Linked DNA regions of Nothobranchius furzeri. The protein of the gene in region 6 interacts with the protein of the main gene of each other region in a biochemical or structural test. Links are inferred from orthologs where the notes say so. Each region holds a gene or a part of one and is shown on either strand. Other genes may lie near its edges. The genes, in order: histone acetyltransferase KAT5, cdk5, nr0b2a, histone deacetylase 4, ncoa4, pparg and ncoa6.

Region 1 (3,929 bases), on a different chromosome or scaffold from region 6:
TGAGGCACCAGCGTCTAAATCTACCAGAGATCTAACGAGATGACAACTTCAGGTGCAATTTTATTGTTAATTTTAACATTTTACTGGACACATGAATTTAATCAGATGCTTCTTAACAGCTCATTAAGGAGGGTAAACATGGGGGTTGTGTTCTCCAACATTTCAGTGATGTACTATTAAATTAGGAAGATTTTCTATTGCACATGTTTAGAAACTGATTAAAATCTGATCAAAATTTAAGTTTAGTTTGAATGGTTTGTCATACTTTTTTTTACAGCAGGAAACAATATGGATGTAAACTTGTGATATAGTAAAATCCATTTTGCTCCATAAGCATGTTACTTTGTAAAATTCCCTCTTTCCTAAAAGAAAACAAAACACATTATGAGTCGGCAAAGCTCTCAGCAATTACAGGAAAAACTAATAATCTCACCTCTATAATAATGTGATTAACTGCAGCATTTTTGCTCCCAACAATGGAAGACTGCTGCTCTCGTGTGGCAGATTGGTGCAAAAATACACTTGCTTCATAATGCAGTACAAACCTTTTTAACTTCACACACACACACACACACACACACACACACACACACACACACACACACACACACACACACACACACACACACACACACACACACACACAGGAAGTTGACTTACCATGTCACTTTAATTTACAAATTAACTAATTTGATCACGCAATCCAAATGTTGTTGTAATGGCTTGGGTCCGCCAGAGGGCGGAAAAATCTTTACTCTAGACAGGATCGAGTTCTCGTGTTCCGTGAAACTGACCTAAATAAAACATATAAATGCCTTATAGACTGAGTTGGTTTTCATCAATTAAATCAAACGACTAAATAAATTTTTTTTAAAGTTCACATAGATAAAAAAGTCAAATAGAACAGCATTTCTATTTTGTTACTGGTTTAGTTGTATATAGTTTTTATTGTAATTATTTGAGTGGTGTATACATTCTTTGTGAAATTCAAATACATAAATTCTCTTCCTGTTTAAAACATAATGTGTTATTACTATTAATAACTCAAGTAGTGAAGCCATTCTGTTTGCGTTGTTTGCCTCATTTAAGATAGCTCACTAACTTCCGGTGACAGGGCACAAACAACTATCTTGACGTATGTTTTCATCTTTGGCGTGGACCGGCATTTTCCCACAACACCCTGCTGCTGCACTCACAGATGACGAAAATGGTGGACAGCTCGTCTTCGGTAGGTTCTCCAGAGAAACTATGCTACTTTTTAGACATTGACCATTATTTGGTTGTAAAATAACGTTTCATCAACAACAGGTCGAAATTGTCGAAGGCTGTCGCCTACCGGTTCTTCGTAAAAACCAAGAACACGAGGACGAATGGCGTAAGTGTTGTCCGTTTGTTTCCCTGGTGCTAAGCTAATGCTAACTATCGAAGCTCAGCTGGCTGTTAGCAGACACCTCGTCTTCCAGGTAGACAAAAAAACTAAAGTGTTACTAAGATTGAGAAGGTGTGCTAATGTAGAACGCTTTTGAAGCCACTCTTTATTTTTGAGGCTTAACTGTTGAATCCTGTCTGCAGAAGCGTAATCAAATATCTTTATTAAATGTCAACAAACATTCATGTTAATCTTTATTGATTTAGAATATGAACGTTCATTTCTCGCGCAGGAATAAAAACCAACTTCAAATCGTAAGACAAAATGAAGACACTAATAATACAAATGAAATAATTAAGATTTAAAATTAAAATACCAAGTTCAACACACTAAACACTGTTATATCCAGTGTTGGGGAAAGTTACTTTTAAAAAGTAATTAGTAATAGTTACTAATTACTTTGTCAAAAAAGTAACTCACTTACTAACTGAGTTACGAGATTATAAAAGTAACTAATTACCAAGAAAAATAACTACTTATTTACTTTTTTCATTAAAGAATGCAAGAAAATGGGTTAATTGAACTTATTTACTATTAATTACTACAATAGTGAAATATAAATGACTAGTGACTGGAACATAATAAAACGTATGTCAAAATGTTTTTTGTAAACCTGAATAATTTAAATAAATAAGCACTTAACAGGAGGAACAGGAGCATTACACTTATCTAAACTATTAAAACGTCACTGTGTGATATTTAACAAGACCCCAATCAGCTAAAATTTAAAATTGCAAATAGAAACACCTGTAAAGGTTCCCGAGCCTTTAAATGGTCTCTCAGTCTAGTTAAATGACAGAAATGAATGTAAATTACAGTATTTTAACTTTTCCAACTTCACATAATTGTGTGTTATTAGTAGCATTTCTGTTGCTGGTAATCTAGTAATGGTTAAATAAATAAATAAAAATCCTTTAAAATGACAGTAGAAGAGGCACAAATCTGATGGAGGACTTACATTTACTAACGTGGGTCAGACCCAAACACAGAAGAGCTGAAGCTGGGTGGTTCTAATAACACCTGAGCTCCATGACGTTTGAGACTGATGCATCAGTGTTACAGCGGGACTAAAGACATGATCAGAAACAGGCTACAGCTGGATGATCTAGGAAGGTAGAAGATCAGGACGTCTGAGTGGTGAACAGGTGAGCGGACCTTCAGGACGTCCCGCTGTCACGTTAAAGGGCACGGCTGCAGACCCACACCTGCAGCCGTAGACTATTCATCACGTCTTCCTCGTTCTTCACGGGCCGTGATGCACTTGGATGAAAACATCTGCCTCTTTAGCTCCTGATCAGCTGATGACAGCTTCAACACACTGCGCTGCTTAACGCACACATTTCTTATACGTAACAGAAACGACATTTTGATAAAAGAAGATGGTAATTAATTAGGTTGCTCGTTACTGAAAGAAATATTTTTTTTAGTAACGCGGTTATTTTAACCGGCGTTATTCCCATCACTGCTCTGTTGAGTCTACAGCATGCAGTGACTGAGACAGTGAGGGTCTCCGCCCACCCGGCCAATCATCATCGGGTTTGTAAGTGCGTTACTGACACCTCTCTCTCCCTGGCTGCAGCTGAAGTGTGGCGGTCAGAAAGCCTCACACTGTTGCTCAACGTTCGACAAGCACATAGTAACGCACAACCTTCCATCCCCAGTAACGGTAACGGTGTTGCAACAGTGGGAAAAGTAATTAATTAGATTATTCCGTTACCCAAAAAAAGAACGCCGTTATTTTAAACGGCGTTATTCCCATCACTGTTATAGCTGCATAGAAATGCATGGAAGGGCTCTGATAAACTACAGTGTAATTAAACCTGTAGTTTAAACTAGAGGTCGACCGATATTGGTTTGATTGCCGATATGTAAAAGGTCAGCTGATGTCCGATTTGTGCAGCCGATATTTTTATGTCCGATATCTAAATATTTTCACCTTATTTTCATGCTAAAACGTCAGATAACATCAGTTGATGCACAAAATTTCTGAATCAGTTTTTTAACCAACTGTTAAATCCTAATTTTGAACACAGCTCAGTGTTAATATCAGACATTTAAATAAAAGGTAATCAAACAAATCCGTTAAGTGACGTGTCAATTATTTGATATTCAAAACTGGTAAATAAAAATAATTTTGAGTTGGAAATCATTTTTAAAGCAGTGATTAATTTGAAATACTATATTAAAATATTCTAATAAATAGCGTACTTACCCATTTTTAATAACTAGTGTCTCTCAAAACACGACGGCAAGTCTGATCTCGTAAAAACGAAAGTCATTTTCTGCTTCCTGTTCTCAAGTTCGGCCTGATGTGACTATCGCACGACTTTCCGAGAAGTGCTCAGCGGCGCATCATGTTTGACCACTTGACTTCTCAAAACCGCAATGCTTCTGCCGATTTATAAAGAACGCCAAATATTTGCCTTGTATATCGGTCTACCCCTAGTTTAAGCTGTTATTGGTTTAAAACCTAGTTTGACATCTGTAAAGAGCGCTTCAG
Region 2 (3,672 bases), on a different chromosome or scaffold from region 6:
AGTGTGAGCAGTCAGATCGCATGCGAGAACTGGGTCGTACAGTGTGAGCACACGACTCGTGAGATCTGCTCTGCGAGGAAGTCGTACAGTTTGAGCTGAAGCTGAACGCTGCGAGTGAAAAAGTCGCACAGTGTACCCCCGGCTTTACATGTTACAAAATGAAAATTACATTCTACAACGTCATAGTTACAAAACATATTACAAGTTACAAAACTAAGTACAAGTTTAATGTAATATTGTCCCAGTCCTAGTTCCATAGTTTTTTATATGTTGGGACCGGGACTTCTTTACTCATTATTTATCCTATTTCTTCAAACCTTTTAGCAAAACTTCTAAAGAATTCTTCTGCAGCTTGAAGTTAAACACCAAAAGTTACTTCTGTCAGTTTTAAACAAACTCGGTAGTATAAACAAGCACAGCTGTTTCAGGAGAAATCTTGCACCTTCTGTGAAGCTTTTTGTTTTTCTACAGGGTGTTCCTTTACCTCAGTGACACGTTCAGTTCATTCATGTACAAAATGCTGTTTCAGTAACAGGTGGCCACATCATTAACATCAGCATCGCTGTGAGAACTTTTGATCCTTTGTTGCTGAAAACCAGCCAGCCCACACACTGTTCTGTTAATGCATCATAATTTGGACTTCTACTGCACTTCAGGTGACAGTGTTTTCCAAAACTTGGAGGAATAAATGTAAAATAGCCGGCAATGCAGCAATTTGGTCAAATGCACCAACGCTTGAGTTAAAATGGAGGTGGGTGTAGGTTAACGGTGCTGCGGGAACTTCAAGTTGGATTCACCTCAAAAAGCACCAAAACACTGGGCTGTTGTAATGCTGCTAACGTCTCTGCAGGTGGTGACGTTGTGGTATCGACCTCCAGATGTCTTATTTGGCGCTAAACTTTATTCTACCTCCATCGACATGTGGTCAGCCGGGTGCATATTTGCAGGTTTGTTATTTTTTTCCACTTGTGAATGTGAAAGGTAAAGTTTTTATAAGTCATTATTTGTGTGTAAATGGTTAAATATTCATATTTTATCTACTTTAGTAATTTGATTACTATTAGCTAATAATTACAACTGCAGTTTTATCTCATGCAATTCTTTTACTTTGTACAAAATAAAATCCAGATGTATAAGAATGCATGGGAAGTTCAGGTGCAGTAAGCACAGTGGCTTTTTAGCTGATGAGGAGAATTTATTTAGCCAAATATGTATTTTAAGTTTCAGCTCAATTACTCTCAACAGTAGCTGAAGGATTATTTATGCCTGCTTAAGTGAAATCAGTGACACCGTTGATGCTTTAAATTATGCTAACTTATGCTTCCTCACGTCCTCTTGTGAATCAGAAATCATTTCCTCCTCCTCCATCACTCAGGAAAGGGAAATCTCCTCTTGTAATCACCCCAAGGGGATGAGAGGATTCTGAAGAGTAGTTATTCAAAGTTGTGACCTTCCTCACACCTGTCCCTCGTGCCTTCTCTCAAAGTAATTGTTGGGAATATTTTAGATATTAGATATCTTCCCACACAGGAGACTACAACTGTTTCCTCGGTAGAAATGGAGCAGTCCTGATGGTGGTTGTCACTGGTCCTGCTTCTGCTGTGTGTGCGCATTCAGTTTCACTTTTGTTTTTGTCCGTGCCCGTGCTATTGTCTTGATTTTTAATAGGTAGCCGCCACCTGGTGGCGTTAACCACGGTTAATAGTCAAACTGGTTAATCCTGCCACAGCCTCCAATGTAGACCGCACCAATGTTCACTCTTTGTCCAGTTCATGCTTTCTTTGCTTTGCCTCTCTTTTTACTTCCAGGCACCACCATGATGCAAACAAAAAACTCTTCTTTTTACACTTTTTTTTAACTAATGATCAACAAACTAAAAAGAGCTACCTGGTAGCCTTTTTATTAGCTACCAGCATAGTAAACACCCCAACTGTTGCTGCACCTCTCACTTGTCCTTTCCTGAACCACAAAGTTGCTTGGTGCAGTTTCTGGCCAGAAGAGAGCTGCAGAGTGCTGTCACATGTGAAGCTGCTCAACTTCGGGTTCAAGAACCACTGAAACCAGCTTGAAAGCATTACCTTAAACTGTTAAACTCTTTAGTGTTTCTTTAAAGAGCAAGTCACCCTCCCACCAGAGTCTCACTCCACCTACACTTCCTGTTTGAAACCAAAAGGAGGTGTCGCCTGGTGGACCAAGAGAGCGGTGCTGAGGCATTGATTAGGGAACACTTGTTCAAGTGTTGCATTTAAAAAAATCCGATGTTTTGTTGTTTTGCTCTAGAGCTGGCTAATGCTGGACGGCCATTATTCCCTGGCAATGACGTGGACGACCAGCTGAAAAGAATCTTCAGATATCCTTTGCCAGTAAATCTGTCCATCTGTTACCAAGAGTAGACTTCTGTTTTTATTATTATTCCTGTAAACATTTAGTCTTTAACCACTGCCTACATTGTTGGGAACACCCACCGAGGAACAGTGGCCGACTATGACGAAGCTTCCTGATTACAAGGTAAATTTAGTGGCTGATTTTCTCTTGACAGCAGCCTTGGACGTTGGTTCCAACACAAGATTTTTGGACCTTTTTTCCAATAAAGACACTGCTACTCTTGTATTCTTCCACCAGCCATATCCCATGTATCCAGCCACCACATCACTGGTGAACGTGGTTCCCAAGCTAAGCAGCACAGGACGAGATCTACTGCAGGTACTTCAACATTTCTATTTATAAAAAAATAATTCAATGCATGACTGTTGTCAGCTTTTATGCTTTGCACAGATTGTTGCTCATTAAAACCTTTCCCTTGATCTGATCCAGAACCTGTTGAAATGTAATCCTGTCCAGAGGATTTCAGCGGAAGAGGCCTTGCAGCACCCTTACTTTGCTGATTTCTGCCCACCCTAAACACTAAATTGCTCCTTACTGAGGATCAGAGACACAGGAACCAATAATCCATCACTCGTTTTATCATTAGAACCACCTCTCAAACCCCTCACTGGTACTTGAGCAGTTCGTTCTTTTGTGCCTGTGTGTGAAACAAAGCCCCGGTGGCTCTGCTGTGTTTTAGGGCCTTCTAAGTTAAATGCCTGTGTAATTTGGTCCAAACACACCTCAGCCAGTTAGCACCAACATGAGCAGATGTTGCATTGAATAAATTTTTTTTTATATATTCCTAGAATTGTTTATTTCCTGCTATTTTGCCTGTTTTAATAGTGTTTTATTATCAGAATTTTAATTTATTAAGTTTTAACTGGGATTTGTCCTAATCGATACTCATTTAACTTGTTTAATTATCTCAGATGCTTGAGAATCAAAGTGCTTGTATATAACGCATCAATTACTCACTCAGCCTTTGTAAAAGAGTCAGTAGTATCCCTAAGGAAGTAGCTTAAACCGACTGAATCTGCAGAGATGTGTACAGACATTTTAATCCCCTTAACAAATATTTATACTAGCAGGAATGGGAAAATGTGAAAGTAAATGAGCTCAGACAGCGACTGAAATCCTGTGACTCTGGACAAATAATGTAAAGATGGCAGTAGATGTGAAGTCTTTTATGAGATTTTTTGCACACACTGATTTTATTATTATTGTACCCACTTGGGTACTTGACACAGACCAAACAGACAGCTCAGTTCTGCATTAACGTGTCCGGACAGTCCCCAAATCACGTCA
Region 3 (3,511 bases), on a different chromosome or scaffold from region 6:
ACGCGTAACCCCATTTCCACCGGCTCACCGCCCCCACCAGCACATTCCTGTTTTACCTGTACGAGTTGTCATGTAAAGACAGGGTTTCACAACTAACATACCACAAAGTAGGATGACTAAGCCTGATTTCTCAAATAACTACATGCAGACAGTGTTTTTTTATACTGCGCTGAGTTTAGCGTTCGTGCCATTCTGTCCCTTTTTGTGACGATGGGGTGGGGGGATCTTGATGCTGTGGTTTTGTGAGAAATGCAAAAGTAAGAAAATATTTGCCGCTAGTCTTCTGAGAAAAAAAAACTTCCACCAAACGTCCTCTAGAGGGAGACACAGCACAGCAGTACAGGCAGAAAAAAGGTTTTCTGTTCCATTTGAAGCCACAAATGTGTGTTTTCATTCTAATTTTAGATTCTCTCCTTTAACGCGCAGGCTTACGCTTGACTTTCTGAAAAGTTTGCTGAGCACAACATGTAATGGAGGATGGATCCACGGATCGGACTCAGTCGTGTACAAAAATATATTTATTCAAGTTTTCTGGAAATGCAGATGCTTATTTACAGCAGAGGAGCTCATCGACACGTAGGATCAAAACTCAAAAACCTCTCAGGAGTTCTGCTCAGACGGTGAAGTGACCTCAGCTTCAGCGGACGAAAGTCAAAACCCTAGTGTGCTTTATAGAAGCCTCTAAAGCACGCTGCATGGAGGTCACCATCCCGAGGACCACCCCTCCCATCGGCTGAAGAGCATGTCGACCAGCAGCTCCAGCAGGTTGGCCTGGCCTATCACAGGCCTGAAGAAGAGTTCGGTGATGAGGCTGGGTGTGATGCCCTGCAGCATGGAGGCTGTGAGGAGGATCCGAGCAAAGCGCTCCTGGTTGCCAGGGTGAAGCAGCTGGACCACCTCGCTCAGGGCGTGCTGAGCTTCCTGCTGCAAGCCTTCGACAAACAGGCCTGCCTTCAAATCTGGTACATCTGTTTGAGAGAAAACCAGAATTGTTGCTTGACAAACGAGTCCTTGGATTATCTGTTGTCTGAATCCAGTTAACGCAGTACATACCTGGATTAAATATCGTGGTCCCTTTCAGGTAAGCGTACTCCTTTGGGCTCACATCTAGACTCCAGAACTTTTTGAGACACGACTTGAGTTTGCTGATGCCTGCCATGGTTGGCTGCTCCCGCTCTGTTTCAGGGCTCTCCTGGCAGTTCAGGAGAATCTTCTTCAGCATGCTGTCAGCAGGGACGTCCGCCACCTCAAAGTCCACGCGCTCCTGGGCCAAACCCAAAATAAAAAGTGGCACCCAGCTGCTTTTAAGTAGTGCAAACTGGTCACTGGGTGGCAGCTGGTTAAACGCTGGCAAGTTCTTCATGAAGTGGACGGTTTTCACCAGAACTGCAGACGCCTCTTTGCAGACCACAGACGGCCTTTTTAAGCACACTCTCCGCCGCGTCTCACAGTTGCATCTGTGAGGAACGGAACTGTGGCTGGAGGTGTCTGGAGTCGGTCTACCGCTGTCCATCTGGCTCAAGATGTTGTAGAGGATCGGGTTTAACTGCCTTTGTTTGTTAGCGGAACACTGGCATCTGTTATCCATCTTTCTTCGATGCGGCTGCTCCTCTGAACCTCTTCTCTGCCACGACGGGCTCCGTCTGAGCTTCTGAGAGCTGCTGCTTCCTCCAGTCTTATTTATAAGGCCAACCCTCCCTTCTTAGTGGACCTTGAAATGTCAATACACCCAATGTGAAAAACAACCGCGCGCTCTGCCAGGTGACTGCTGGAATAACCCTGGGAAACAGATAAGCTTTTCTCATTGAGAAGTAGCTGCTGGAGTCACACATGGATATCAAGTGGGATTGGCCTTATCTGGAAGGCAGTGTCATCAACCCAGGCAGTACCAAGCTACCAAGGACTGCAGAGGTAATCAGCCCCACGCTGTGTCACTGCACCCGCCAGCTCACACCTGTAGTGCTGGAAGGAGGCCAGACCACAAAGGAGGCCGTTGACCTTCACATCGTGTTCTCATCAAACGTAGTTTAGTTTAGACAAACGTTTCCAAACCGGGAACAGTGGGAATTATGCTTCAATTTTAGGGAAACAGTAGTAGTAGCATAAAACCACCAAATAATTCCCGACCACAGCTGCAGTTCTCCGCTCCCCACGGGGATGGGTCAAATGCGGAGATGAATTTCAACAGTGTGTGATGACTAAAGGAACTATTGAAATGATTCCAAATGACTTCGGGAAGAATATAAAACAAGTTCATCGCTGTAGCGAGCCCCCTAGGGGCAAGTTGCATTGATAGCTTAACCTGTAACTCTGGGGTGGGAACAAACGGTAAAATGTACACTTAATGCATCTAATCCTCAGAAGTCCCAAAGCATACTTCAACCTTATAACCACTTCACCTACTAACCTTTAAAATCGGACCGGCTAGCAGCAACGCGACTCTACCACTGACTCTGTTTGCTCTTCAACGTTGATGTTTTCTCTCCACAAATAACACGAGCCTGGAGGAGGTCTGCTGTGTGGTGGAGTTGCTTGTGCTAACGTTAGCTTCTACTACCTCTCTGCTGTTTCCTGGATGCTAAGCCAACAACAGCCGCGAGTCAAGGAGGGTGAGTCCATGAATGTTAGGTGACAGCGTGGCGTAGATCTGTCAGGCTTTTCAAATCCTAGGTGTAGGAGACTATTTTCATGTTCAGCATGAACGAAACACTCGGAGACCGATTATAATCAGAAATAATAATTAAAACTTTTTTTCAGTGTTCCACACCGTTAATGGATATCCATCAAGATTTGCGTTTTAATTCTGCCTTTTCGATCTTTAACACGATTATTACACAGAAGATTAAAAGGTTGTTTGTGTGATCGTAAGGGTCGTGTGTAAGACCAGTTTTTCATTTGAAACATGCACAGAAGTGTTTGTTAGTGATCTGGAACGTAATTAACCCGTTTTACAAATGTCTGCTTCTATAGTTTCTTTGTTTGCATTTGCTTTTGCCCAGTTCCTGAGTAACAGCTGCATTTACGTAGAAGTTTTTGAACATGTTTATTTTGCTGTCAACACATTTGAAATGAAATGAGGCATTCTAACTGCAGATGTTCCGTTTGTGAGACAAACTTATCTAAAAAAGCATCTTGATCAAAAAAGAAATAGTGTTATTGTTTTTACAAATGTTACATTCTCTTGTTGTTGGCCATTTCACAACTAATCTCAATAATGTACATGTTTTTCTTCAGTTCAGATTATTTATATAGCTCCTAACTCAGCAGACGGCATCGAGTCACTGACTAGGTCTTTGCAGCAATCCTCAAAAGCAAGTGTGTAGCGACAGTGGGGATTGGGAAGTCAGCGCAAACACACACACACACACACACACACACACACACACACACACACACACACACACACACACACACACACACACACACACACACACACACACACACACACACACACACACACACACACACACCAAGTGGTGTTCCTATGGCTAGATTGTGATTTCTTATTAAA
Region 4 (3,500 bases), on a different chromosome or scaffold from region 6:
TCATCTAGAAGGTGATTAGTTTAACTTTACTGCTTTAAGTAAATAAACAATCATTCAACATGTAAAGAAATAAATACATAGCAGAGCCTTATGACCCAACGTGGTCGTAGCTAACCCAGACGGACCCGAACCGGGTTCTGATGCTCCTGATCCATCCAGGCTACAGGCCAAAAGCTCCTGTCCTCATTCTGGATCAACGTTTGTTGAGACAGAACCTTCTGAACTAATCTAACCTCATTCTGGACTCTTAAACCATAAAAACAGCAAGAAAAACAAAAGAGGAAGGTTTTTCTAAATAAAAGGCTCTAAAAAAGAAGAGACTGTTTGAAAAATCTGAAATTTGCAGGAAAGATGAGTCACACAGAGACTTTGAGATGACTAAAATATCACTGATGAGCAATAGGATAAAGGTAGGAACAAGTAAAGGTTTTTCAAAGTAAAAGTCAGAAAATTTTCTTTTTTAATGATGTTGTGTAAAAAAAACATGAATCAGGTATAAATAAAGAGCACATAACTAAAATGATTCTGATTAACAATAAAAATACATAATAAATGCAAGTTAGAACAAGCAACAGCAGCTAGAAAAACCCAAATAAATCATCCGTTTATGTAGACGAGTTTATTTTTTTATTTTTATTTTTTTTTCATTTAACATGTTTGTTTAGATCTGCTGCAACGGGAATAAAGATGGGAATTCTGGGAAAGTTGAGCAGGATCAGAGCGAGGGGGTGAATGCTCTGGCGTCATTGATGTCCCCTGGCACGATGCCAGCAGACCCAGAGGACTGTAGCTTTGGGAACGCACGCACACACACACACCTGTAGATGGAGCCCACTTGGGACCTGCTGCAAACTCTCCTCTTTCTTGCGAGTTTCTGCGTCATAAACACCCGCGTCCACCAATCAGTGGGGATGAATGAGCGCATGGGGTCGGGGCCCCTGGATGAGTCGCTGGCAGCATGCTGGAATGTCTGAGTGATGTCACACGTGGAGCGAGGCACTCACCCTGTTAGAGGCACGCCGGAGCCATCATGATGAAGCTCGTTAGAGGAGAACAGGAGTTTGGTTTGTGGGATCTGTCACATCCAGCTGGTTCTCATCCTTCTGCAGATGATCGGGAAGCCCAGCGAGTCACCCGTGGGTCGGCAGCACCAGAGCCACCCGGAGGAGACAGAGGAGGAGCTGAGGGAGCACCAGGACGGAGGAGTACTGCCGCTGGGGGTCACCATCAAGCAGGAGCCCCCAGACCCACAGGAGCTGCAGGAGGAGGTGCTGCAGCAGCACCTGGAGAGACAGGTAGAGCAGGAGCTGCTCTTCAGACAGGTAAGATGAGTTAAGCAGCTGAATGATGTGTTTACACTGCCACCTGCTGGTCACTCGCTGCACCCACACTTCCTCCTGCCCTGTTATCATCTTTACTTTTTAAATACTACTGTCAGAGAAGAGTGGATTTGTTCTGATCTGACCAAGGGTTCAGGTGGGTTTTACAGGTTAAGCCTTAAAAAAGGGTTCAGTCCTTCAAAATAAGAGTCTCTACATACACAAATACCTCAACTCATCTGAAGCTGATTAGAGCTGGTTTAGGGTGAAACTCAAAACTGCTTTTATAAGTATCCGATGTTTTCTCCACATTTTGACTTTGATAAAAGTAAAATAATCATTACGAACAGACATGAACTTTCTGTGGTTTTAAGGTGGCAGAAGGAGGTCATAACACACGGAAGGGTCTTTTAAATGTGATCTCTGGGCCGTGTTTCCCAACTGATGAATAATCCTGGTTTCCTCCTTTATTCTCCCCTCTGAGCAGCAGGCTCTCCTACTGGAGCAGCAGCGGATTCACCAGCTCAGAAACTATCAGGCATCGATGGAGGCGGCCGGTTTGTCCGTCTCCTTCCCAGGACACCGTCCCCTGTCCAGGGCCCAGTCGTCTCCAGCTTCAGCGTCCTCGTTTCCTCTCAGCGTCCCTACAGCTGATCCTCCCGTCAAATCGCGCTTCACCACAGGTTTGCATCGTCATCATGTCTCCCTTCTGTTTCTGAAGCATTAGGGACGGAAATGTTTAAAAACCGAACCTTCTTCTTCAGATCTCCTCTCTTAAGTCTCTTTAAGGAAGCTGTTGGTGTCGGTTTTACCTGCATTAACGCAGAAGAGAAGGAGATATTTGTAGTTGGGCCGTTTTACCCCCAGAGCTGCCCGGATCAGAACCACAGACATTTGTTTGTTCTGAGGTTAGAACTCAGGTTGTGGTGAAACTGGGCCGTCTGCTTTCCCACCCAGGTCTGGTGTACGACTCCCTGATGCAGAAGCACCAGTGCATGTGTGGGAACACCAACAGCCACCCGGAGCACGCCGGGCGGATCCAGAGCATCTGGTCTCGGCTGCAGGAGACCGGGCTCAGAGCGCAGTGTGAGGTAGGAGCCGTGGGTGCTGACGGTCTTGCTCTGAGGCCAGATGTGTGAAAGCTGTTGTGTTTGTGTGTTTAGTGCATCCGGGGGAGGAAGGCCACTCTGGAGGAGCTGCAGACTGTCCACTCTGAGGCCCACGTGCTGCTGTATGGAACCAACCCGCTCCGACAGAAACTTGATTGTAAGCCTGGAGCTCAGAGTGAAAACACTTTGCCGCTGATCTCCTCTAACGGACGTTACATCTGATCTGCAGGTTCGGTAACACCCATGTTTGTACGGCTCCCGTGTGGAGGAGTGGGGGTGAGTGACGGCATGAAAGATCCGACGGTTTTATTGTCTAAATGTATTTAACCACTGCAGCAGTTAAACATCTGGGTGTTTCAGGTGGACAGTGACACCATTTGGAATGAGGTCCACTCGTCCAGCGCCGCTCGCCTCGCCGTCGGCTCGGTGGTGGAGCTGGTTTTCAAAGTGGCCACTGGAGAGCTGAAGGTAAAATAATACTCTCATTCTATTCAAAAATGATACTTCAGCCATTTTGATTTGGGTTCCTGTTGGAGGAAAATCACTTAGGGAGGTTTTCTGACCTACGAGCCAAAGCTGTAGTAACTTAGTAACTGATGAGTGGGTTACTAACTGATCAGTAACTGAGTAACGGATGAGTGAGTAACTGAGAAACTAATGAGTAACAGAAATGAGTGTGTAACTGTGTAACTAATGAGTAACAGAAATGAGTAACTGATAAGTAACATCATTGTTAAAGTTTACCAAATGAAACTCAAACTTCTCTGAAGTTTCGTAGACTGGAGCTTCATAAAGATGACACCTGTGCTCAGACTAGCCGTTAGCTCATCAATCCTTTAGCATGTAAATACTGTGTCTTCAAACTGAGGCTATTCAGGAAGCTATCTACATGGTAAATGGCCTTTTTTTTGATACAGCACCTTCTAGAGTCCTGGAACCCCCAAGGTGTGTTACAACACAATCAGTAATTCACACATTCACACACTGGTGGTGATGAGCTACATTGTAGCCACAGCTGCTCTGGGGCGCACTGACAGAGGCGAAGCTGCCAAGCACAGGCGCCACCGGTCCC
Region 5 (3,965 bases), on a different chromosome or scaffold from region 6:
TCGCGGACCTCGCAGTAAAAACAGGTTCACTCTGTGTGGATATTTCAGCTCCTTCCCAGTCATGGACCAGGACAAACTTGGTATCGATGGGTTCGTGGTAATCACAGGAATGAGAAGCTGCCACTGTTTTTCATATAGCATGATGACACTGGTGTTAGAGGATTGTTATTGACTTGGTTAGATATTTTAAGCCTATTTTAAATTTCTTTATATTTGATCTTGAAAACGGACAATCTTATAATTTAGCTGATAATGCAGGGATTATAAAATTTGGAGTACATTACATTCACAGAGAGAACCTGGTTTATTTCATGTCATATGTATTTAATATATCAATCAGTATTCGCAAAGCTTAACATCATGAACCATGACAGACATGACTGAAGAGCAGATGAAGATATCATGCCAGGCACTGATGAGAAAATATTACAAGGATCTCACAGCTGAATATGAGAATGAGATGCTACACCTGAGAACAATATATGGTGCCACATTCCCACACATTCGGTCTCCCCTTGAGCTGCTTAATGCCATACAGGATGCAATTACAGAGCATTTTTGGAGAAGTTTGTATTAAACTGAGGATTTTTTGCACACTACCTGTGACTGTTGCTGGGGGTGAACGGGCTTTTAGCAAAGTGAAACTGGTGAAAAATTATTTGAGATCAACAATGTCCCAGGATAGACTGAACAGCCTAGCTCTTCTTTCTATTGAAAGCCAATTAGTCAAAGGATTGGACTTTAAAGATCTCATAAGTGATTTTGCTAACATGAAGACCCGTCAGTGGGCATTTACTGGAAAATAAATTCCAGGATTTTTGTTTGAACACATTGTTGGCAAATAAAAAATAATTATATGTGAAGTCTGGGCATTTCATTTTTATTATGCTGGCATTTGTATTTGCTAATATAGAGGTTAAACTAGGATCATATTTATTATTTTTATAGCATGACAAAAATGTGTAAGAGATATTACGTAATTGAGCATGGGGGCCCACCTAGAAGACTTGTACCTAGGGCCCAGAATTTGGTGCTACGCCCCTGGACGTGTGTATGAGCTTTAGTTAAAGGGAGCACTGAGTGTTTTTCTTTATATTATTGTCTCTTGTGTCGGTTCCCTACAGTGGCTTTGTGCTTTTAAATAATTGTGTGTAGTCCCAGGGCCAGCATTGTCATCGCTCCTCCCTCTCGTGGTTTAGAGTTTTAGCCTATTTTTATCACCGACCTGGGTTGTCTTTAATAAATCTCCTGTTCTGTATCTTCTGAATAAAATTGTTAAACTTGTGAATAAGCCTCTGCTGTTTTCATCAAGGGTTATTATTACCTACGGTTTTAGGATCTAAGCATCCAACCCTCCAGGTCACGCATATCTATGTGGGCGACTCTTCATGTTGACCAGCCATGTGCTGTTCGTCGCCTGGCTCCGCTCAATCCAAAAATTTCCTTCAGTTATCGCGAGACTTCATCTTCATAGCGATTTTTTTTCTTTCCGTGACGTGAACGTCGGTAGCTGTCCGAGGAGACATTGGTTCTCCGCGAACATTCTTCCATCTGTGGTGTCAGAGAATCGATCCGAGTCGCCTATGTCATCGAAGTCGAGGCTTAACAGCAAAGCCACACGGTAATCCGGAAACGGCTAACTCGGAGTTAGCTGGGTTTCCTTCTTGTCTGTTCATAAATATGTAACTGGGTAAAAATGGCGATGATCGGGTCTGGTACTTTCTGTTGTGTTTTCTGGCGGTGGCCGTGGTGTCGCGTTAGTCCCCGTGCTTCAGTCGGGTTGTCCTGGTTCTATGTGGCGTTCTGCTCCTTTGGCCAGGGAGCCCAGCGTGTGTCATGTCTCACATTCACCGGAACCCCAGTAGGGGCCCCAGAGGCCTGTCTTACCGTACAAATGCTAAACTTGGCTAAAGCCAAGAGCTGGTAGCGTCGAGGAGTCCCTGCTGGACCCACAGACACATGTGCAGACATAAATGTCTGTGACTGGACCTGTCTGCTGCTCGTCACGTGGGTTAAAGGTATGGAGTGATTGAAGGGGGTGACCGGGTTCGTGTGTGTGTACGTGCGGCCTTGTAGACGGTCATGGAGGACAGTCATCGCGAGAACACATGAATCTGACACCGCGTTTGCAGCGGATCCGGTTTAGAGCTCAAGCTGCATGAAGCACTTAAGAAGATTTAGTCTGGTTCGGCTCCTTTGGGCCCGGCTGGGCCTGTGGTGGGTCACCTCCTGGTAAACCATCAGGTGGTTCCGGTGGTTGTTCGGGTCAGAGAGGGAACATCGAGTCCTGCTGACGGCTACAGATAAGCTCGCTGTAATTGCTGACTGGTCCTTCTGCGCTAGTCCAAGTTGACATGGGTCGGGTCAGAGTATCAGGACTATTGATGTGACAGTTCCAGCAGCTGTGTGTGTGTGTGTGTGTGTGTGTGTGTGTGTGTGTGTGTGTGTGTGTGTGTGTGTGTGTGTGTGTGTGTGTGTGTGTGTGTGTGTGTGTGTGTGTGTGTGTGTGTGTGTGTGTGTGTGTGTGTGTGTGTGTGTGTGTGTGTGTGTGTGTGTGTGTGTGTGTGTGTGTGTGTGTGTGTGTGTGTGTGTGTGTGTGTGTGTGTGTGTGTGTGTGTGTGTGTGTGTGTGTGTGTGTGTGTGTGTGTGTGTGTGTGTGTGTGTGTGTGTGTGTGTGTGTGTGTGTGTGTGTGTGTGTGTGTGTGTGTGTGTGTGTGTGTGTGTGTGTGTGTGTGTGTGTGTGTGTGTGTGTGTGTGTTATCGGGATCAGAGGAAGAGGTCTTGCTGGTTTGTGCTTCATGTTGAGCAGATGAATCTGGACTACAGGAGCCTCTGAGGGTCAGCTTGAGAGCCCGTTTTTGGAGTGTGACTGGGTCAACATGAAGGTCCTAGACTGGCCTAAACTCTGGATGCTCTGTTATCAAAGCTGACATCAGCTGACTGTTCACAGCTGATATGGCTTTTGCTCAGGCCACGCCCACTTCCCCACAGCTGATAGCTGCTGCTCAGGCCACGCCCACTTCCCCACAGCTGAAAGGAGCTGCTGAAGCCACTTCCGCCTCCACCCTTGTTGTTTTTCAGACAGAAGTCAGTCCTGTGGGTTTCAGCTCATTAACGGGCTTCTGCACAACTTTGGACCTGCTGAGCTAATCTGGACCTGGCTGTGCTGGACACCAGACTGTCTAGGTGTGTACAGTTGCGTGTGGTTTACCGGTAAGACTGGTTTAATCCAGTAGATGGTGGGGAGCCACTGAGCACAATGCAGCAGCGTGCACAAACAGCTGAGTCAGCTGGTGATGCTGAGGTGAGTCGTGCCCTTTGTTTAGGTCGACAGAGTTTGGACCCATCCTGGCTGCTGTTTGACCTGGAGGACAAAGCTTCAGGTGTGCTCATGTTCAGGCTGAAGAGGCTGGCCTGGCTCTGTTAGAGGGGTTAAATGAGTCAGAACATGCTGATGCGTGCTGTCATCACCAGCAGAATAGACTACTGTAATACCCTGCTTTCTGGTTTTCCCAGAAGAAACAACTCAGGTTTACGACTTCTGTTGAGGACCAGGAGGTGGGAGCACATCGCACCAGTCATTGGCTCCCCGTATGTTTCAGGAATGATTTTAAGGTTCTCTTAATGGTGTTTAAGAGTCTTTATGGCCTTTGGCCCTCTTATCTGTCAGACCTGCTTTTACCATATGAACCCTTGTGGCCTCTGGCAGCCACCTCCTGGTTATGCCTAAAGTCAGGACACGCACTCACGGCGAGGCAGCCTTTCAGTTTTATGACCCTCACCTCTGGATCAGGCTGCTGGAGAACCTCAGGGCCGTAGAGAACGTCCATGTTTGTACGAGCGGGCTAAAGACCCACCGTTTTAGCTTAGCTTTTAACTGGTTATTTATTCTGGTAGATTACACCGTATTATTTAATTACATTTTAGAACTGTTAATTCTACATCTGTATTTTAATGTTTATGAC
Region 6 (4,144 bases):
CAGTCACAGTTTTGATAACTTTAAAGTACTATTGATTATAAAACATTCTAATAAATAGCGTACTTACCCATTTTTAATGAATTTGAGTCACAAAACACGATGGCAAGTCTGATCACGTGTCACTTCCCGCTTCCTGTTCTCAAGTCCCGTGTGATGTTGTGACTATCGCGCGACTTTCCAAGAAGTGTCCTGTGTGACCACTTGACTTCTCAAAATCTCGGGCGGCTCATTGGTATTGGCGGAGATTTTTAGACAAATGCAAGAGAACCACTTTGTTTTATGTATATATTTTATGTATTGTACATGTACCTTTGTTATTATTTTTCTTCAAATTATTCTCTTAAGTGTTGGTGGTGCTGTAACAAGTGAATTTCTCCACTGTGGGATCAAAAAAAGTCTATTCTATACTAGTTGTTTATTTATTTATTTATCATTCTCCACAAAATATGTATTGCTATACTATGTTTAAATGTTGTTAAGGGGCATGGAAACATGTTTTAAGCTAATTTGTTTTCCAAACTTGCCTTTGCAGCTTTAACTTGACTAAATATGCTAATATGAGGAAGTAGCTGGCCATGGCTAAAAGTGTGGCTAGTTAGCCACAAACCACAATTTAAAATGTGTTCAGCTTCCTATGAGCTCCATGCAGCTTTGATGTGCTGATAGGTGAGATCAACTTTAAAAAATACATTCATTTTATTACACTTATAGGTTGTTTCTTGGTGCATGCTGAGCCATATTTGACTTAATAAACAACAAATGTTTCCTAAAACATTAGTTTATGATTAGCTAGAAGATTTTGCAGTTTTTCTGAAAAATTCCGAGTTGATGCCAGATTAAAGAATTCATTTTGTGTGATGCTATTTCACTCATTAGGTGCCTTATAAGATCCACTCTCATAAATAAAAACTTGTAACAGTACCTGTGTTTTCTGCGCATAATAAATCAGTTTAAATAGATCCGATTAAGTAAATCGGAGCTTTAGAAGGTAATTTGACGCCTTTTTATGTGTCCTTAAATCCCTGGAGGTTGAGCCGAGAGGAGGGAGGGGAGAGACGCACCAGGCAAGGCTCACACACGCACCGTAGCAGCAGCAGGAGCTGAGCGCTCCACAGCGAACGGACCCGGACCCAACCACACTGCTGCGGCTGTTCGGTGCCCAAGCCCCCGGTTCCAGGGGGGAGGCGAGCTAAACACGACCGAGAAAGTGCGGTCCAACACCGGAAACGCAGCCCGTGGACTCTCTCTGTCCTCTGCGGTTCAACACACTGATCAGGTCAGTCACCCCCTTCTGAGTTCACTATTTATTGTGCTTGGAGTTGTGGCTGCTAGGAGTAATAAAACACTGCAAACGTCATAAAAAGTAAAGTAATTCAGAAGACTGGGTTTAAGTGTCTGCATCAGTTTTTGTGTCATTTTAAAACAATAAGGATAACTTTTAACTTTTTGATTTCATACTAAAGTTTTACTTTTTTCAAACATGTCGACTTAAGGTGGACACTTCCTAGAGAGTGACAAGTAGCCAGTGGCGTAGATTGGGGGTGGCGATAGAGAGGGGGTGCGGCCACAGGGCTGACAACTGGCATGCACGTCAGGAGTTGGTCCAGAGTGTGTCTCTGGGCCACAGTGCGAGTGTGAGCTTGACATGCAAACACCAGGCAGAGATTTTCACCATCTAAGTGGTCACATCTTCTCAGGTAAGACCAGGTGATGCCTGCTGTTGGGTTCTAGTGTTTTAGAGTGTGTGTGTGTGTGTGTGTGTGGGGGGGGGGGGGGGGGGGGGGTCACATGTGCTGATTCACTGTAGATTCTTCTACAGTAACTGCTACATAAGAGTTGTGACTCAGCTATAATAATGTAGACTGACACAGTCACTCCTGTTTTTTCCACTTTGGGTTTTGATGAATTAATTTTGAACTCATGTGGGGAATAAATCTGATCTGTTGGTTTATCCTTTAATGGGACTGATAATGGTGAAAACAAGCTGCAAAATGGAAACGTGTTATAGATATCAGTCAAAACAGTAATTATGATCAGAATATTTAATAAATGCTTAGCATTACCAGATGTAAATCATCACCTTTTACTCCCTTTTGACATTTTGCTCACTAAATTTGTGCTCGGTGTCATTTGTATTTTCTGTATTATGTTTTTTTCTTGGAACGTTATTTTAGTGTTACTTTTTTAAATGTACTTGTTTTGTTCTTATTTTAGTCAGAGTTGTGATCTGGCGATACACAACAAAACAATCACTTAATGTAGGCAAATATTTAGCTTCAGCAACTTTGTTTAAAATTTAGACTAATATCTTTAAATCGAGTTTTCTGTACTTCTGATTATCAATAAACTGCTGCAGGTCAAACTCTGTCAAAATGTCTCTAAATCAATAAATAGCATTTTAAAGGTTAACAAATTATTATTGGGTTTAAGCAAAATTGTCCATCAAACATTCCAGATGCGATAGGACGAGTTTATCACTAAGCTGATCATAGTTTATTATGTCCTTTTTTAAATGAGACAAAGCATAATACATTTTTTATTGAGTGATTAATTATCAAGGCGTGTTTTTGTATTTATAAATGCACCTTCAGGTAAAAGCATAAATATTACTTTTATTACAGCAGCAGCTTGGTTTATTTTAAGTATTATTTATTTGAATGCAAGCATTTTCATCAGCTATTCATTTGGAAGAAATTGAGTGCAGTCCTGAAAGTTTTGCCTCGGATTCTGGTGTCATAAATCTCATGCAGCTTGAATCAGTAATACTAGCTCAGGTAAAAAAACATCCTGTAATCTTTACATAAATGACTTAAAGTCTAACAGCAGCTTCGATACAGGCGTTGATGCAACTGCATGCCCTAAATCACTCATTTATCAGGTTATATAATTCTTAGAGTAAGGTGCGTCCATGTGTTTGTTGGTGCATGTGTGTATGAATGACTGAGACAGATTCGGACTTTGTTCTGTTGTCGTAAACGAAAGGAGTGCTTCAAGATACGTTGCTATTTCTTTGTTGTTGATCACTCGCTTTGTGGATAACACACCTGCACATAAAGCTATTTTAATTGTGTGCTAAAGAGTTCAAGTTACTTCTTGTCACTTATTGTCATTTTTGAAGCTTTCTATTGATGTAAAAGAAAGAAATATCAACTTTTTCTGCCACAACCTTTTGGAAGGTACTTCAGTCACCTACAGTTTTAAGAGCGAAATGTAATCGCAAAAGGAAGGAAGACTGTCTAAACATCTGTTTTTGCATAAACATTCAGATAAAAGAGAATGACATGCTCTGGATGAACCCACAGATAATTAACCACTTTTGCTTCTGCACTGCCAAAATCCTGCTTTGTTCATTTTAATTTCATGCAGTGAATAAGTGTTTTAAAAGGCTTTTCTGATTAGGTTTCATCAGATAATGCTGGCGTTTGAAGTGGTTTAACCCTAAGGTTGTCAATTTATTTTTAAATTAGGTGTAATTATTAACTTCAGGGCTATCATTTCATCATTTTCTGTCTACGAACCGCAACATTTTGGCTGCAGATGCAAACTTTTATTGACACCAAACAAAACTTTGGACACTGGCAAGTTGTTTGCTAATAAAACTTTTCTGTACTTGTTAATCTTTTGTACTTTGACAGAGAGATGTGTGATTAATTAAGTACGCATTTTGCTTTGGGCTCCAAAAGAATCATTATTAAAATTATTTTGTCATGTTCCGCTTTGAAAGTATCCTTCTATTTAGTCATGCCTCTTTTCATGGCACATATTTCCACAGTTATGTGACGTACAGTGTGTGATGTGCAACATAAAATACTCAATTACTTTCAGTTATGACCCAGCACTCACTATGGCATTGCAACCATTATTTATTTTCCATACAGTTCTTTTTCCAAGTATGGACACTCCTGGAAAAAACACATTTTGATTGCACTGTCTCCGTTTGGACTTCCAGGCTCCCGTGGCAGCTATTCTCATCTCTCAGCTTTGCTCTCAGTTCATCATAGTTTCTCCATGCAACCGATCAGTCAAGAAGAAAATTAGATTTGATAAGTTAGTATCTACATAGATTTCACACTAATGACTGAATGTTAGGTTTTTTTAATTATATTTGATGATAAGCTCTATGATGAATTAATTTTGGTTTCAT
Region 7 (4,040 bases), on a different chromosome or scaffold from region 6:
ATACTAGTGAAAGAAGAAAAGGTGGAATAAAAATGATCAAACTACTACAGTCATCAAAATCTCACAGCAAACTGCCATTTAAATAAAAATCCACTTAGCTTTCTGTGAGTTCACCTCACATCTGTTTGCTCGAGTCACACGGTACAAGGTTTTCAAAGTAAAAGCCCACCCAGCAGTGGCACTAAAGTTAGCTGCAAATGAAATAATGTAATTGCTGAACTTATGAGAGGAATGTTTGAGAGTATTTTCTCTATCACTGTTTAGTCAGAATTTCAGAGGTAAATTATTGAGCAATAAATGAAATCATAAACCAATAATGTAAAATGTACAAAAAAATGCATAGTGTGCAGTACATGCATTAACAGTCAACTTATTTTTTAATGTTTTTTGTCAATTATTCCAAATATTACCAAGGATGTTGCTAGATGACAAGTGAAGAGACTTGCTTTGTCTTTGTCTAACTGTCCTTCCCTTGCTTGTAGTGTGGCATGTAACTGTGATTATGTTGTCTTGCACAGCTGCTGGAGTTTTACCTTCTTTTTGAGAACATGTTAGGTGATAACATACCCAGACAGAGATGTTTAACAGGAATGTGATTTCCACATCTTGGTTTACTACTTTTACTGAGATGGTTTTATTGATTTTAAAGTATTTCTTATATTGTTACTGTTCTTTTTGCATTCTTAATATAGTTTTAGTGGTTTATTTGCTGCTTTTCTTGAAAATCATTAGAATTATTTGAGAGAGGGTCACCCTTGTTCTCTGAATGGGAATTAAAACAGTTTAATGTAAAATCAATTTTTACATCACTGTTTGACTGTAGATGTTTTTATTCCTAAAATCTATATTCAGCCTGGAACTCTTCGGGATGGGTGTCATGTGTTTTTGGTGCAATTAAGCGGAATAATAGAAGTAAAATCGAACACGTTTTTCTCTCACACTAAATTGATCAAATAGGTTTCTAATCTTAGAGTCTTGTCTTGTGTACTGTTAATGCACACATTTGCACACCTGATGTTTGATTATTTTGTGTTTATAATTGAAGGAAAAATCGGTTTTGTTCAAATTTGTGAAATAAAAATGTTTGCACATACCCACATAAGCAGTGTTCCGCAATTTGTCATCATACTTGCATTTAATACAATTTGAAAAATAGATAAAACAGCTCAGTTTATTCAGGACTATTTAGGAAATAGTCATGAACTTGTTAACCTAAGGAGTGCGTTTACCTTTTGAGCTTTTATTTTGAAAAAGAAAACCGGAAACAACCTTTGTTAGTTAGCTTGCTTATGACATTCATCCTATTTTGTTAGCCTGTCTAGCAAACAGATGTCGACTAGTTGAACGTATTCGTATATGGATATGTTTGGTAAGGTCTTTGTATATTCCTTTCTCCTTGTTTTTATTAACGAAAACTGTTGAAAGGCAAATTAAACCAGCTACGGTTCGCTGCTTGGATTCATTCGCGTCTGGAGACTGACATCTAGCTACATAGCTAACTGATGCTAACAGGATTTTTCGGAAAACCAATAGGAACCACTTTCAATTTCACTCTTTCTGTGTGCTGCTAAAACGTATACATTTGAAATGTAAGTGTTAATTGCACCACGATGAAAATGCACAATTTGGTAAGAAACAGAGTTTACTTGTGGATTTTGTTTGAATGTTAGCTTACTGCGTTAAGGCCCACACTCCTGCAGCGCCGGTGACTGAAACCAGGATGATCATCATTATAAAAATATATTATATTATTACTAACAAGTTTAACTCCCATATCAAGAAATCTCACAACTCTGAAAGTAATGTGACTACCAATCAGAGCACCTCTGCTTAATAAGCTAATCACCGGTCAGTGATGTCACCTCCAGGTGTCTGCTTCATTGAGTTACAAACTCATTTATTTGCTTCTTTTTCTGGTTTGCAAATAGAAATTATGACTTTTTTTGCTTGTCTTTGTTTTACTCGAATCGAATGTTATATAGAATACTCTTCAGCCTCTAGCAACTTACTATAACTGTTGTTTCTTGGCTGTGTTCAGGGTTTCTAAAACAATTAAAGAGCAAGTCACCCCCTACAAGAAACTTATTTCACTCCCTCTTCATGTTTGAAAAATGCAACAAATGCTGTTGCCTAGCAGACCGAGAGGGCGGAGCCACTAACAAATACACACACACACACACACAGGCTCACAACGGCACTGTGACATCATAATGTACCAGTTTACATCATAGCATACCTCTTAGCCAATAGCGGTGGCAGATTTAAATTCAAATGCAGTGCAGAGTTTTTACCTGACAACGGCGCAACATTGACAGTTTTAGGCAGAATATTTCAATTTTAACTAAGATGCACTGAAGTACCAAATTATTGACTACACGTGTCTGCAGCACATTTAGACACACATTTATATAGTTTATCAGCAAAAAAAAAAGTAGATTTGGGGGTGACTTGCTCTTTAAGAACTGTCGAAGGTCTCAATATATTAATGGGAAATTAAAAATATTCTAAGATGAGCTGTTATGTTCCCAAAACTTTCCATTTTAAATGCATTCTACGAAATTGTAGAAAATTGGGAACCCATAGCGTAAGCAGCTTTTTACTTTAAGCTGAAACAGTTTATAGAAAAAGCATAATTTATCAAATAATTATTAAATTAATCAATACCATAGACTTTTCTGGGCAGTACATACATTTGAGATAGGCAAAGTATGGAATAATAGTATTTGATAAGAAAATGCTGTAATCTAAAGTTTGAATAATCTGTAATTACAGCATAAAACGGTTTAGACACCACTCCTAACAAGGAAGGGAGGATAGCTGCTGAACATTCCTCATCCCAGAAGACTGCGTACATGGAGCCTGATGGTGAATCGGACAGAGACTCTGGTGTTGGAGAAGATTCTGGAGAAGACGCAGATAGCTCTGAGAAATGCAACGTAACAGAAGAAGTTGGACCCATGGAGCAAGAAGACACTAGAGAAAATGGAGAGGAGGACTTCACAGTCTTTGTTGCCTTTCAAGGAAACATGGATGATGAGAACTTCACTCAAAAACTAGAAACTATCCTCAATGGGATACCTGATGTTCTTAATTTGGGTTTGTGTTTATTTTTATTCAATTTGTTTTGTTACTTTGTTTTATTTGAGCTCATTTACGTGTATTTGATTCAAAAATATATATCTTGCACTGACCTGTTAAGCATTTTCCAACCAACACTAACTAAATACACTTTATTTTAGGCCCAGAACGGCTGCAGCCTAAACATGTTGAGCCGTGGAACAGTGTCCGTGTCACATTCAACATTCCCCGGGATGCTGCTGAGCGACTCCGGTTGTTGGCCCAAAACAACCAGCAGCAGCTCAGAGACCTGGGTATTCTCTCTGTGCAAATAGAAGGTAATAGCTCAGTCCAAAAAGAATTCATGCAGATCTCCTCCTTTTGTCTTCATAAAAATTCATTTATGCAATGATTTAATCTTGGTGTTCAGGAGAGGGAGCAATTAATGTGGCTGTGGGACCAAACAGAGGACAAGAAGTCAGAGTGAATGGACCAATTGGTGCACCTGGTCAGATGAGAATGGATGGTGGCTTTCCAGGTCAGCCTGGCCCAGGTAAGTTTTTCCAAAAGTTTAACAAAAAAATTAACAGTACTCTAGTCTACTAGTAGAGATTTTGGCTTTACTGTCCAAACGTGATCACACATGAATGCTGTCGAAAGCAGCAGCAGCTTCAGCGCAGAGCAAGTTGATGAGAAGACGAAGACATAATTTATACTGGCCTGGTTTAGGTTTAAGGAGTCTGATGCTGAGCAGAAAAACATCCTCTGTAAAATATTCTGGGCGACAGTGAAGTCATATCAACGCTTGTTAACGCTAACGCTAATTCCCTTATATGCCATTAGCTTCTAACATATTATTAACACGCAGGTTTCCAAACTTTCATCACAGTAAGCTTGTATTTTATTTTAAAATTTCTTCATCTTTATTTGGTTCATGTGAATTTTTGTGTTGCATTGTTTCTAACAATGTTTAACATAAATAT

The links.
Region 1: the proteins of pparg (region 6) and histone acetyltransferase KAT5 form a complex in vitro, tested with the Homo sapiens proteins (2 studies listed by BioGRID, with this or other methods). The link is inferred for Nothobranchius furzeri from reciprocal best matches to the Homo sapiens genes PPARG and KAT5.
Region 2: of the proteins of pparg (region 6) and cdk5, one has a biochemical effect on the other in vitro, tested with the Homo sapiens proteins (3 studies listed by BioGRID, with this or other methods). The link is inferred for Nothobranchius furzeri from reciprocal best matches to the Homo sapiens genes PPARG and CDK5.
Region 3: the proteins of pparg (region 6) and nr0b2a form a complex in vitro, tested with the Homo sapiens proteins (2 studies listed by BioGRID, with this or other methods). The link is inferred for Nothobranchius furzeri from reciprocal best matches to the Homo sapiens genes PPARG and NR0B2.
Region 4: the proteins of pparg (region 6) and histone deacetylase 4 form a complex in vitro, tested with the Homo sapiens proteins (2 studies listed by BioGRID). The link is inferred for Nothobranchius furzeri from reciprocal best matches to the Homo sapiens genes PPARG and HDAC4.
Region 5: the proteins of pparg (region 6) and ncoa4 form a complex in vitro, tested with the Homo sapiens proteins (2 studies listed by BioGRID, with this or other methods). The link is inferred for Nothobranchius furzeri from reciprocal best matches to the Homo sapiens genes PPARG and NCOA4.
Region 7: the proteins of pparg (region 6) and ncoa6 interact in a test that uses a peptide from one of them, tested with the Homo sapiens proteins (2 studies listed by BioGRID). The link is inferred for Nothobranchius furzeri from reciprocal best matches to the Homo sapiens genes PPARG and NCOA6.

Annotation. Positions count from the first base shown.
Region 1 is NC_091750.1:47,314,777-47,318,705, reverse strand, and holds the start of histone acetyltransferase KAT5, read left to right. Parts: upstream 1-1,129; 5' UTR 1,130-1,198; coding exon 1,199-1,228; intron 1,229-1,308; coding exon 1,309-1,375; intron 1,376-3,929. UniProt on the Homo sapiens protein: Catalytic subunit of the NuA4 histone acetyltransferase complex, a multiprotein complex involved in transcriptional activation of select genes principally by acetylation of nucleosomal histones H2A and H4.
Region 2 is NC_091751.1:49,909,088-49,912,759, forward strand, and holds the end of cdk5 (cyclin-dependent kinase 5), read left to right. Parts: intron 1-850; coding exon 851-947; intron 948-2,280; coding exon 2,281-2,350; intron 2,351-2,447; coding exon 2,448-2,508; intron 2,509-2,622; coding exon 2,623-2,703; intron 2,704-2,814; coding exon 2,815-2,901; 3' UTR 2,902-3,172; downstream 3,173-3,672. UniProt on the Homo sapiens protein: Proline-directed serine/threonine-protein kinase essential for neuronal cell cycle arrest and differentiation and may be involved in apoptotic cell death in neuronal diseases by triggering abortive cell cycle re-entry. Interacts with D1 and D3-type G1 cyclins.
Region 3 is NC_091745.1:40,694,226-40,697,736, reverse strand, and holds nr0b2a (nuclear receptor subfamily 0 group B member 2a), read right to left. Parts: upstream 2,028-3,511; 5' UTR 1,589-2,027; coding exon 1,054-1,588; intron 969-1,053; coding exon 703-968; 3' UTR 501-702; downstream 1-500. UniProt on the Homo sapiens protein: Transcriptional regulator that acts as a negative regulator of receptor-dependent signaling pathways. Specifically inhibits transactivation of the nuclear receptor with which it interacts.
Region 4 is NC_091754.1:47,188,773-47,192,272, reverse strand, and holds part of histone deacetylase 4, read left to right. Parts: intron 1-1,109; coding exon 1,110-1,322; intron 1,323-1,806; coding exon 1,807-2,002; intron 2,003-2,276; coding exon 2,277-2,410; intron 2,411-2,482; coding exon 2,483-2,585; intron 2,586-2,657; coding exon 2,658-2,704; intron 2,705-2,788; coding exon 2,789-2,896; intron 2,897-3,500. UniProt on the Homo sapiens protein: Responsible for the deacetylation of lysine residues on the N-terminal part of the core histones (H2A, H2B, H3 and H4).
Region 5 is NC_091752.1:62,469,924-62,473,888, forward strand, and holds the start of ncoa4 (nuclear receptor coactivator 4), read left to right. Parts: upstream 1-1,165; 5' UTR 1,166-1,388; coding exon 1,389-1,621; intron 1,622-3,010; exon of another isoform or gene 3,011-3,186; intron 3,187-3,965. UniProt on the Homo sapiens protein: Cargo receptor for the autophagic turnover of the iron-binding ferritin complex, playing a central role in iron homeostasis. Acts as an adapter for delivery of ferritin to lysosomes and autophagic degradation of ferritin, a process named ferritinophagy.
Region 6 is NC_091743.1:63,419,765-63,423,908, forward strand, and holds the start of pparg (peroxisome proliferator-activated receptor gamma), read left to right. Parts: upstream 1-1,344; 5' UTR 1,345-1,645; coding exon 1,646-1,697; intron 1,698-4,144. UniProt on the Homo sapiens protein: Nuclear receptor that binds peroxisome proliferators such as hypolipidemic drugs and fatty acids.
Region 7 is NC_091755.1:60,747,824-60,751,863, forward strand, and holds the start of ncoa6 (nuclear receptor coactivator 6), read left to right. Parts: upstream 1-1,240; 5' UTR 1,241-1,369; intron 1,370-2,772; 5' UTR 2,773-2,852; coding exon 2,853-3,096; intron 3,097-3,239; coding exon 3,240-3,395; intron 3,396-3,487; coding exon 3,488-3,610; intron 3,611-4,040. UniProt on the Homo sapiens protein: Nuclear receptor coactivator that directly binds nuclear receptors and stimulates the transcriptional activities in a hormone-dependent fashion. Coactivates expression in an agonist- and AF2-dependent manner.